Linked DNA regions of Arabidopsis thaliana. The protein of the gene in region 2 interacts with the protein of the main gene of each other region in a biochemical or structural test. Each region holds a gene or a part of one and is shown on either strand. Other genes may lie near its edges.

What was found.
Region 1: of the proteins of ACS4 (region 2) and XBAT32, one has a biochemical effect on the other in vitro, tested with the Arabidopsis thaliana proteins (one study listed by BioGRID).

What each region holds. Positions count from the first base shown.
Region 1 is NC_003076.8:23,393,853-23,399,328, forward strand, and holds XBAT32 (uncharacterized protein), read right to left. Parts: upstream 3,799-5,476; 5' UTR 3,294-3,798; coding exon 3,099-3,293; intron 2,999-3,098; coding exon 2,939-2,998; intron 2,857-2,938; coding exon 2,785-2,856; intron 2,686-2,784; coding exon 2,519-2,685; intron 2,428-2,518; coding exon 2,267-2,427; intron 2,156-2,266; coding exon 2,097-2,155; intron 2,007-2,096; coding exon 1,960-2,006; intron 1,866-1,959; coding exon 1,716-1,865; intron 1,628-1,715; coding exon 1,536-1,627; intron 1,461-1,535; coding exon 937-1,460; 3' UTR 733-936; downstream 1-732. UniProt on the Arabidopsis thaliana protein: E3 ubiquitin-protein ligase that mediates ubiquitination of ACC synthases (ACS). Negatively regulates ethylene biosynthesis probably via ubiquitin-dependent degradation of ACS4 and ACS7 enzymes.
Region 2 is NC_003071.7:9,716,860-9,721,728, forward strand, and holds ACS4 (1-aminocyclopropane-1-carboxylate synthase 4), read right to left. Parts: upstream 2,736-4,869; 5' UTR 2,614-2,735; coding exon 2,467-2,613; intron 2,365-2,466; coding exon 2,233-2,364; intron 2,166-2,232; coding exon 2,005-2,165; intron 1,917-2,004; coding exon 932-1,916; 3' UTR 743-931; downstream 1-742. Other genes in the region: AT2G22820 (uncharacterized protein), read right to left, coding at 4,372-4,566. UniProt on the Arabidopsis thaliana protein: 1-aminocyclopropane-1-carboxylate synthase (ACS) enzymes catalyze the conversion of S-adenosyl-L-methionine (SAM) into 1-aminocyclopropane-1-carboxylate (ACC), a direct precursor of ethylene.

The DNA.
Region 1 (5,476 bases), on a different chromosome or scaffold from region 2:
ATGTATATTTTTATTAATGTTGATTTTGTTTTACGATTTCTATGGCTTCCATTAATGTTTTTTTTTTGTTTTAAATAGTACTGGTCTAGCTTCCATTAATTTTATCCTCTTATTTCCCTATATAAACACAAACTTCACCTGCCCTCTCACATCATCACTTCAGAGCAAAAGCATCATATATATCATTCCTCTTCTTCTTGATTAGGATCATGATGATCATCATCATAATCATCATGATATTTATGATCATAATGATGATCGTTTCTCTCTTTCAACTTTTTCTATCTTCTCCACTACATCATGGTTGTACTTTCGAACGTGTGACTATCTCACGGAGAAGAAGATTTCTTGGACATTAGTGTTCCATTGGCATTATCCTCGCTGAGCTTTTTTTTTTCTCTATGAAAACAGAAAAAAACAAAAAATAGTTTTGTTTCTACTAAATCAGAAAGTTCTTCTATAATTTAGAAGATTTTTCTTGACCTTGCAAGGCTTATTAGTTTTGTATTGTTCTTTTATTTTCTTTTATCTTCTCTTCATTTTTGTATTTTATTTTGTATTGGTTTGTTGTTTCTATTCCTCCTGAGCTTTATGTATAATTCACTACTAATCCCATAATTTCTCAGTTATTAGTTCCTCTGAAACGTCTATCTAAATATATGTAATCTTCGTTTATCTGTTAAGTGTTTGATAAGTGATACCTTAACGATGCTAATGGCTACGCAAGAAATTCACTCTCAAACATAATTTTATATACACACCATTTCAATGTAATGGCAAGGCCAAATTAATTATTTGTATTACAACATTTTCACTTATTACAAAATGAATAATCACCACACCATTCACAGAATCAATTAGCACATTTTTAATCCCAAAAAAACTGGGATCAAAAATTTTATAAAAAAGGTGAAAAAAAAGAGGATTGAGTTTGAGTTAGCAAGCACTTCCACCGGTTGTAACACAATGGTTAAGTGCAGAAAACCAAGAACGTTTCCCTTCAACCTGCGACGTTGATCGCCTGAATCCTACACCGGATCTTGAATATGATCCACCAATTAACCGGCTTCGAGGTTCATCAACATCTGAGCCACCAAGGCAGAGACTTGGAGGAAACCGGCGGCAGCTAAGAGACCGAAACGCTGATGATCTAGCGGATTGTGGAGTTCGAGAACCCGTTCTTGACACAACCGGTTTACAACTGTAGTGAGGGTTAGTTAGGAGAGCTGTGTCTAAGACATCAGAGGAGCAAGTGCAGAAGGACAAGGAGATGCTTGTTCTTGATGATGTTGATGTTCTTGTTGTTGCCGTTGTATGGGGAAGTTTGGTGAAAGATACAATGCCATTGCGACAGAGAGGACACGGGACAGAGCCTGGTGTGACGTTTGAGGTCTTTGACGATGTTATGCTTGTGGTGCTTAGGTATAATGCACAGTTTGTGCAGAACTCATGAGCACATCCTGTTATGTCACACACAACAATCAATTCAATGTTTTAAGCAAAGATCATTTTCGGTAGTGAAAGTGGTACATTACCATCTGCTGCCACAGTGCATTTTCTTTCCAAACAAACGGCACAAGGGTCACGACATGGAGTCAGACAATCGTTTTCTCGCCAGCCGCATTCTCTGAAATCCACAAACGAAAAAAGACCAATCAGCCACAGAGATCATGCGATCATATAGGGTGTTTCAGTTAGGTGTAAAGTTTACATACTGAGCAATATTGACAATGCTCATTAAAGGAAGGCAGAGGAAAGGAGAGGGGACATTTGGCAAATGGAGTTGTGGTTGTTCTGTTGTTGGGTTCAGGATTTCTTCCAGCCAGTTTCGGTGCCATGAACGAGCTACCATCATTGGTGTCCATCTAAAACCAAAACATGAAGCGAATTAAGACATTGAGGTCTATATCAAACTGGTTGATTGGATTTAGCATGCTGAGAAATAGAGTGATCTAATACCCGTTGGAGTTTACGGCAGCTAAACAAGCACCCTTACTGATCAAAAGCTGAGAAAAACAAATGCCAAATGAATTCATATGTGAACTTTAAACGAAACATAACAGAAGCATCATGATTGTCTAGTTAAGCATGTATACCTGGCAACACTGCGTGTTTCCACCACATGAAGCATAATGGAGAGCTGTACTCCCAGCACCTTCAATATATAAAATCAAAGAGCCGGAGCGAAAAACAAAATTAAGTCTTTCACATAAAGAATCTCTTCACTCATTGTCAAAGTTAATCAATTAGAGCATATGATAGTAACCTATAAGATCTATAGTAGTTCCATCTTCCACAGTGACCTGAGTAACCGAAGCTCCCAAATCCAAGAGTAACTGCACCGTCTCTATATGTCCGTTCAAAGCCGCCACATGAAGAGGTGTGATTCCACCATCTGCTGCTCTGTTGATCACTTCGTGAAGAACACTACAACCACAACATCCAAAGAACACATTCAACTAATCATCATCAAGTGACTACAGCATTACCTCAATTCTTTACAAAAAACACTTTTGACCTAGAATCGAATCCAGCAACTGAAGTTTTCTTATTCTTTAAAAGGCTCCAGCAATTAGGAACACTTGGTATATACTCCGAAAGCAAGATCCTGATACACCGAGGGTGACCATTTAAAGCCGCAAGGTGTAAAGCAGTACCACCATTTAAGTAATCTGATCTGTGAATCTAAAACCCGAACAATCAAGAAACACAATCATCATTGTTCCAATATCCCTGACATATTTTTAAATCACAATCAGTCAGAAGAGTTGATCAAAGTCTTACATTAGCACCAAAAAGAATCAGAATCAAAACAACCTCCCAATGACCATGTTGACAAGCTTGCATCAAAGCCGTCTGTTTCCAAAAATTTCTTGTATTCAGACTACTTCAAAACCAATCAATAATGCAAAGAACAAAAAGACACTAATCACAACACCTGTCCACGGTAGTTCCGGAGATTAATATCAACTCCTGATTCCACCAACAGAGAAACTATCTGAAGATAAACAAAACCCAAATCACCAATCACCATAAAAGTCAGAACTTTAGAATCTCTAATCTTACAAAGTATTGATCTTTCAAGTAATTACAGTTACCTCGTGGTGGCCTTGAGCGGCGGAGTAATGAAGAGGAGAGTTACGAACGCCAAAAGTAGAGTAACGAGCGAGTCTTGGATTGTAATCTAAGAGAGCTTTAGCTTCCTGTAAATCACCGTCTCTGGCCGCTGATACTAAGCGTTCGCCGGACGCAGAACAACCGAATGAGTTTCCGACGAGGCTTAGAAACCTCATCGTTTTACGATACAAAATTGAAATTTTGATCGGATCAACCCTAACAAATCACCATCAACACAACAACACGAACAAATTTTATTGGATTCACAATTTGCAGCAAACCCAATTCGAGAACCAGCTCGGAAGAATCGAAGAATTGAATTTAATTTCAAATGATTGCAACAAGAAAAATTTGGTTTTTATTTTCTTCCTCTGTTTTTGTTGTTGTTGGTGTTCTTTAATTCTCTTATGTACAGATCAGATCATCATCATCATCATCATAATGATCCCTCTTTAAGAAAGAAAGAAACTTTAAAGAATTAACCAAAAAAAAATCAAAACTTTAAAAGAATTGACCAAAAAAAGCTTTAAACTTTAGAGGAAAGATCATCCAGAAAACTTCTCTGACAATTGTAATACAGAGAACATCAAAAAGAATGGTGAAATTAAGTTGTGGGATTTTTTTTTTGGTCAATTGATTAAGGAAAATAACAAACAATAATAACAAATTGGTGATTACTTTATTTTTAAACCAAAAATGGAAAAGAATTGTTCTAAATTTTTTATTGTGTGTGGAGGATCTCTTAATATTTTGTGATGGTGACACTAATTAATTGACTTTTAATTATTTGAACAAAAAAAAAATATGACAAAGCCAACGTTGTAGCCAGAGGTTTCGATAAACCAATAGCCGGAATTCGCGCGTTTTTTTGTTTTAACCAAAATCTTAATGATTATAAAGATTCTCTAACAATGAAAAAAAAAAGACATTCTTCATCACACCATAAGAAAGCTTTCTCCTTTATTACATATAATTAAATAAATAATCTTACTATACTGCGTAATTGAATAAATATAGGTTCTTTTTGTGCCAACAAATAATGATTCAATTAGCAAGTCTCCAAAAGTAACATGACATTAGTGGAAAAACAAGTGTATAATAATGAAATGTGGAGGAGCATGTGGGTCGTGTCACGTCATGCTTATAATTGCATTTGCATTAGCAAACCTATAACATTAATGACTTCAAATTTTAACATTAGCAAATCAGAATGATCATGCCAACTCTCAGCAAATATATTTATCAAAAAAACTCTCAACAAATATTACTTGATTTTAAAGATGACCCAAGCTATCTTCAATCTCACTTTCTGTAGAATCACTAATTTGTGTCTCACAATTGTGCAAAACTGTGGCCAGTTGCTGTAAATTGACAGAAAATTCTTTAGTTGACAATTTGTCTTGTACTTTGGAACTTGTAGCAGAGTTTCTTTGTCCAGAGTTAACACTATCCAAACTAAACTCCAACTCCCAAACTGGATGTACAAGCTTAAATCTCCACTTGTGCTTTATGTGGAACTTCTCCACACCAAAAATGAGTTGTGTAATTCAGTCTGAAACATGTCCACTATTCCACATCTATGTTCTCTCGAGTCCACATCACACAATCAAGTAGGTGCATGTGCACATGTTGGAACCACAAACACAACACCCTCACTGTCCTAGTGTTTTGTAAGAGAGAGATGTGAAGTAGTCTAGAATGTCTCATCAAGTCGTCCTCCAAATGTAACCATATATCCTCACCTTCTGTACACATTTTCAAAATAGCTGCAATGGAAAGTGAAGTTCCTGAAAAGTCTAGAGTATAACCAGCTCAATTTTGACTTTCTGATATCCTTTGTTGAATGGCCAACTCCATAGACATTAACACACACTCATAGTTTGGCTTCATAGTCTGCTTTGACAAGCCAGATCCAGACTTTTGAACATTAATTCTCATTCCTTCCCATGCACTGCTTCAATTTCGCGAGAAACATCTTGCATAAGCCTATGTCCCAAAAGTTTCTTCAAGTTCTCAAACAACATGCACTGCAGCTTTCTCGAATTCCACCTCACAACAGAACTTGTTTTTTGTCATTTTGATCTCCTCTAAGCTAAATTTAAACTTGAATTTCCAAGCTTTAGGGAACTTCATATGGTTCATGTCTCTGACATACTGCATCATCCTCATTTTGCACCTACTGTTCCAGCTTCCCTTGAGTCTTTTTATGTTGTTCTTGGTATAGCCCTCTGCAAATACGCATGCTTGTAATTTTGTCAGGCTACTTTTTTTCTTCATCTCGTTGACAAATCTATAACAGATTCTGTTAAAGTGTCTGTCTTTCGTTCGTAAGATCATTACGTTCATATAACAATATCTT
Region 2 (4,869 bases):
GAAGCTGAGTTGTGTGACTTCTTCGAGAGTTGGAGTACAAAAGTTTGGGACCGACTTGGACAAGGAAGAGAAACCAAATCCAAAAAATACTTGGACTAAGAGCAAATCCAGTGATTAATTTCTAAGTAAAGTTTTTATATATTTTTTTATTGATAAATTTGGATAGTTTTGTATTTTAGAGATTTTTTAGAGTTTTTGAAAATTTTATGGTTCATTGGTGGAATCTTTAAGTGGGTTTTTAAAACAAAAAAATTTGAAAAAGGGAAAAACTGAATCTACATGAGAATAACTGTTGCTGGATAAGCTTAAAGGAAGAGAAAACATTTTTAATCATTGTTTGCATATGCCATTGGCTTCACATCCGGGTAAGGATGTATAATCAACAATATCAGAAAATTAGAAGAGTTTTAGAGAGAAGCCAAGAAACTCTTATATGAGTATGGTTCGAAGAATGGAATTGGTGAACCAAGTCGTCGATGATTTGGCTCTTCTCTCCCGATTTCATGTTCGATACACCGGAGATCAAATCGATTCGAATCGCCGGCCGTCGGACAAAACAAAAAAGTGAAAAACGAGAGGAAAAAGGAAAACATGAGTGTTGTGATTTTTTTTGTTTTCCGACGACTCACAGTCGACCACGTCGCCGTCTAAAAACCCATCCAAAAAACCTAATATTGGGATGGATCCTAATTATTTAGTTGGGTTTTCATTTAATTTTGGACTTTTAATTAGCTAGAAACCCATTAGAAACCCATTAAAAACTGCCGATGGACTTGCTCTAAGAAGTCTTCAACGGTTTTCTAAAATCTAGGATCAGAGTAAGCACGTTGCATTTCCATTTTTTTACACTCTCTCTCGTGATAAAAAAAATTACAGAATCACTTGCAATGTGTGGGAAACAAAAAAAAAGAACTTCAAAACAAAAACCGGACTATCGTTCCTCAGCCTCACGGTCGTGAAACGATAGTCGGAAAACCCAGTTAGAGACATTTGACATCGTCTTCTTCCTCGAACCGTTTAGTCTTTCGCTTTTACTCTTTTGGCATCTTCTACTTGAGTTTTCATCATCAACCAACATCTTCAATCTCTTTAAAGCAAGCTTTAATGTCTCATCAATCATGTTCGCGAAACAAACTCTAAACCAACCCGGTTCTTCACAATGGCACGACGAACCAGGAGAGATGTTGAGCTTCACTTCGTAAACAATCTTCTTCCAAAGATCCATTTCCGCTTCGAACGTTTTAGATCTAAGGAGAGGTCTCATGTCGACCCAACAAAAGAGTCCCGCATTACTCTTCAGACATTTGATCCCGATGGCCTCTAGACCCAACACGAGCTTTCTCTGTCTGTTCTTGAGCCGTTTTTGGTTCTCTCTAAGGTAGTTCTTAGTGAACTTCTTGTCAGATAATAATGAGGATAGTAGGTATTGTGTCTGGGAGGAGACAAGGCCGAAACTTGACATTTTTGTAGCGGCAGAGATGACATCTTTGTCATTGGAGTAAATGGCTCCAACTCTAAAACCAGGGAGGCCTAGATCTTTAGATAAGCTACAAACAATGTGGACTCGGTTCAAAACATCGGTGTTTTCGAGTTGATTATTTTTTAGAATCTCCATGACGCTGATGAATTCTGAAGAGTTGAATACTGTGCCCGAATATATCTCGTCACTTACTAAATGTATATTCTTATTCTTGGTGATGAAATCAAATAGAATGTTGAGTTCGGTTTGGGTTGTTGTCGTACCCAAAGGGTTAGATGGGTTGGTGATGAGTATTCCTTTGACGTTTAGGTCAAGCTTCTTGGCTTGCTCGTAGGCTTCTTCGAGTGCAAGTTTCGTTATGCGAAACCCGTTAGTACTTGAGCTTTGGATTGGTACAATCTCAACCCCGGTTCGCCATTTTAGATCCCTATCAAACCTGAAGTACAAAAATAAACATGAGTTTTAGTTAAGTCAAGTTCGTAGGAATGATGGAAATTTTACGTGTAAGCAAACAGTGGACTAACCCTGGATAATATGGCGTGGGAAGCAAGAAAGCGTCACCGGGATCTGCAAGACAAAACATTAGAGTCTCGTTTGCGGAAGTGGCTCCAGCAGTGAGCACAAGGTTGTTTGAATCAAAAGAAACTCGATTTCCTCTATTTTCTGACATGAAATCAGCAAAGGCCTGAAAATCATTCGAGCAAGATCAGCAACCTACAAATAAATTTGATAAATACAATTAATAATCTTACATTTTTGAAGGAAGAGAGGCCATGGTAGTCTTGAAAGAGAGCGAGTTCCCGGAAAACAGACTGGCCATCTCTCTTGAAACAGGCTGCGTCTGTGTTTTGTGCAAGCCATGACTCTAGTAGATCAAAGCATAGCTACAGAAATCCAATAAAATTAAACATACTTTAAATTAGTCTCTCTGTCATGATATACATAAGTATATATATATCACATGCTGTTGAATAATATTTGTTTACCTGATTTTCCGCAAGACCCATCTGGATAATGCCTTGAGGGTTCTTGGTAACGTCGTAAGGATTCTTCTCGTACTCTTCCCAACCAAGGAAATACGAAGAGACTTGGCCATGGCTGTTGCATGTAGCTTTTCTTGACAATTGAACCATTTCTTTTGTTCTTGTTTTTTTTTTTTTAATAAAAGGCTCAACAATAAATTGAAAACTCTAGAACTAGAGAAAGAGTTGTCAGACAGGCTGAGAGAGATCGAGCGCGTTGTTGTTGATAAGCTACGAGAAGTCTAAGAATGAATGCATGTTTATTATATAGTTTCATGCTACGCCAAAATACACAAAGGACGGGGATTCTAATTATTTTCATTATCCGATTTACCAACATGGGTTTTCTTTTGATTGTTTTTTGTTTTAGTGATTTATTTTTATTTTTTTTTGGGCAAAAAGTTTTAGTGATTCTAAAATTTAGATATAAACCGAGTTTATTTTGCCAATAAATAGCATTTTAATTAATCTATTAAATTCAAGTATGAATTACGAGTTTCATTTTCTTAATGTTTTGACATATGAATTAATTAGATCAAATTAGTATAGGAAAAAAGTGGAAGCGATGGAGAAATGAGGACGCTATACCGACAGGAAATCTCCATGTAAAATAGCTGCTTGTATACAAATATTAAATAATGTGACCCACAGAAAAAAAAAGTATACACAGAAAAGAAAAAGCGAAACATGTCAATGTTTCAACTTGGGGACTATTTTGGAGGGTGTATCATGTTGGTCCACGTTTCTCCCCCGATGCTAACCCTCTTTTGTATTCTATGTCGGCTAATTTTTTCAACGTTTTAAAACTTTTTACTGTTATTAAATATAACACAAACATAAATAATATTATTTATTATATGTAATGATCTTACGAAGAAGTAAGTAAGAGATAAAAGAGAGAGTGGAAGTGGACGAGAGAACAATATAACACTTCACTCTTCATTACTCTCTCTCGTACGCTTTACAACATCGGACTCACATATATATAGAAGATTATATGATAGGATAAGATAGAAATAGGATAGACTACACTTAGATTTTGGAAGCAAATCACTTAGAGACAAAGTAATTAAATTGGATAAAGAGATAAGATCAAAGTGATAGATTATCACTTGAATAATTATCCATTTATAACATCTACAAAATTTTCCATACGTTTTATTACTTTTTCTTGTCCCCATATGATGTTTTTGGTAGTTAAACTAGATTATAATTCATATTTAAGTAAATAGCTAGTTTCAAACGGGTAAATATTAAGTTAAAACTCACATCCTCTATGATATCAATGGCTATATAATATGAGGGAAGATTTGAAAAGTAACAGAAATACATATACTACGACAATGCTTACTTTGATATGATCATTTTCAAAGCTTAACAACACCAAGTGAGTGCTCACAGTTAAGACAAACATGTCATTTACGAGGTATGCTTTCCGCTAATTAACATATGTTTTTTGTGGCTTAAATATGAACAATTAATTACTACTATAATCTACAACTCCTTAATGCATTTCCAATATAAATATGGCTGTAAAGATGTTCACACAAACTAAAGAAAAATTTCTAATACACGCCTAAATAATAAAGTGTCGTTGTTACAAAACATTCTTTTATTTATAAACGGTATTCAAAAATAAATTCAGAATTTTTATAAAATAAGTCCAGATATTTTACCTCCCAAACAATAAATTGGCTTTTGGACTTCCAACATATTACTTGTTTATTGATTATAAGAAGGAACAAACTATATATTTCTAATCAAAGCGATATTGGAATCCTAAAACGATAAATATTTCAAAACAAAAATTTATTCAAAAATGATAATATTTATTGTGAAACATATTAATCATTACATAAACATTAAGTTTCATCGACCGAATATTTTTCGGTAGTTAGCCGTCCCGACTTTTCGGATATTTTGTCCGACATCACCGGCTCCAGTAGTGGTGTTGGTTGGCTCTAGTCCGGCAGCGTCTTGTTCACATAACCGGCATTGGCTGGCTCTTGGGTTCTCTCGTCGATGTAGATCGACTTTTCTTCTGTTTTTTTTTTTAATTTTCATGTTTTGCTTTTAATAATTCTCATATGAGACATATTGGTGATAGAGTGAAAGCAATCTCGCTTTCTAATGCTTCTTATCCGATCTGTTTTCTTTTGAGTTTTGATTTATAGAAATCTTTGCAGAGATTTGAGAATGAAATTGAAGAAAAGAAGTGGATTCCGTTGCTAATTATCATAGCATTAAGCTGTTGTATCTTTAACATGAGCCTCGATTGCTTTTTATTGGTGAGAAAACAAAAAGATCCATGTTCGATGAGACTATCGACGGTGATTCTTTCACCGGAATCGGTGCCCGGACTGCAAG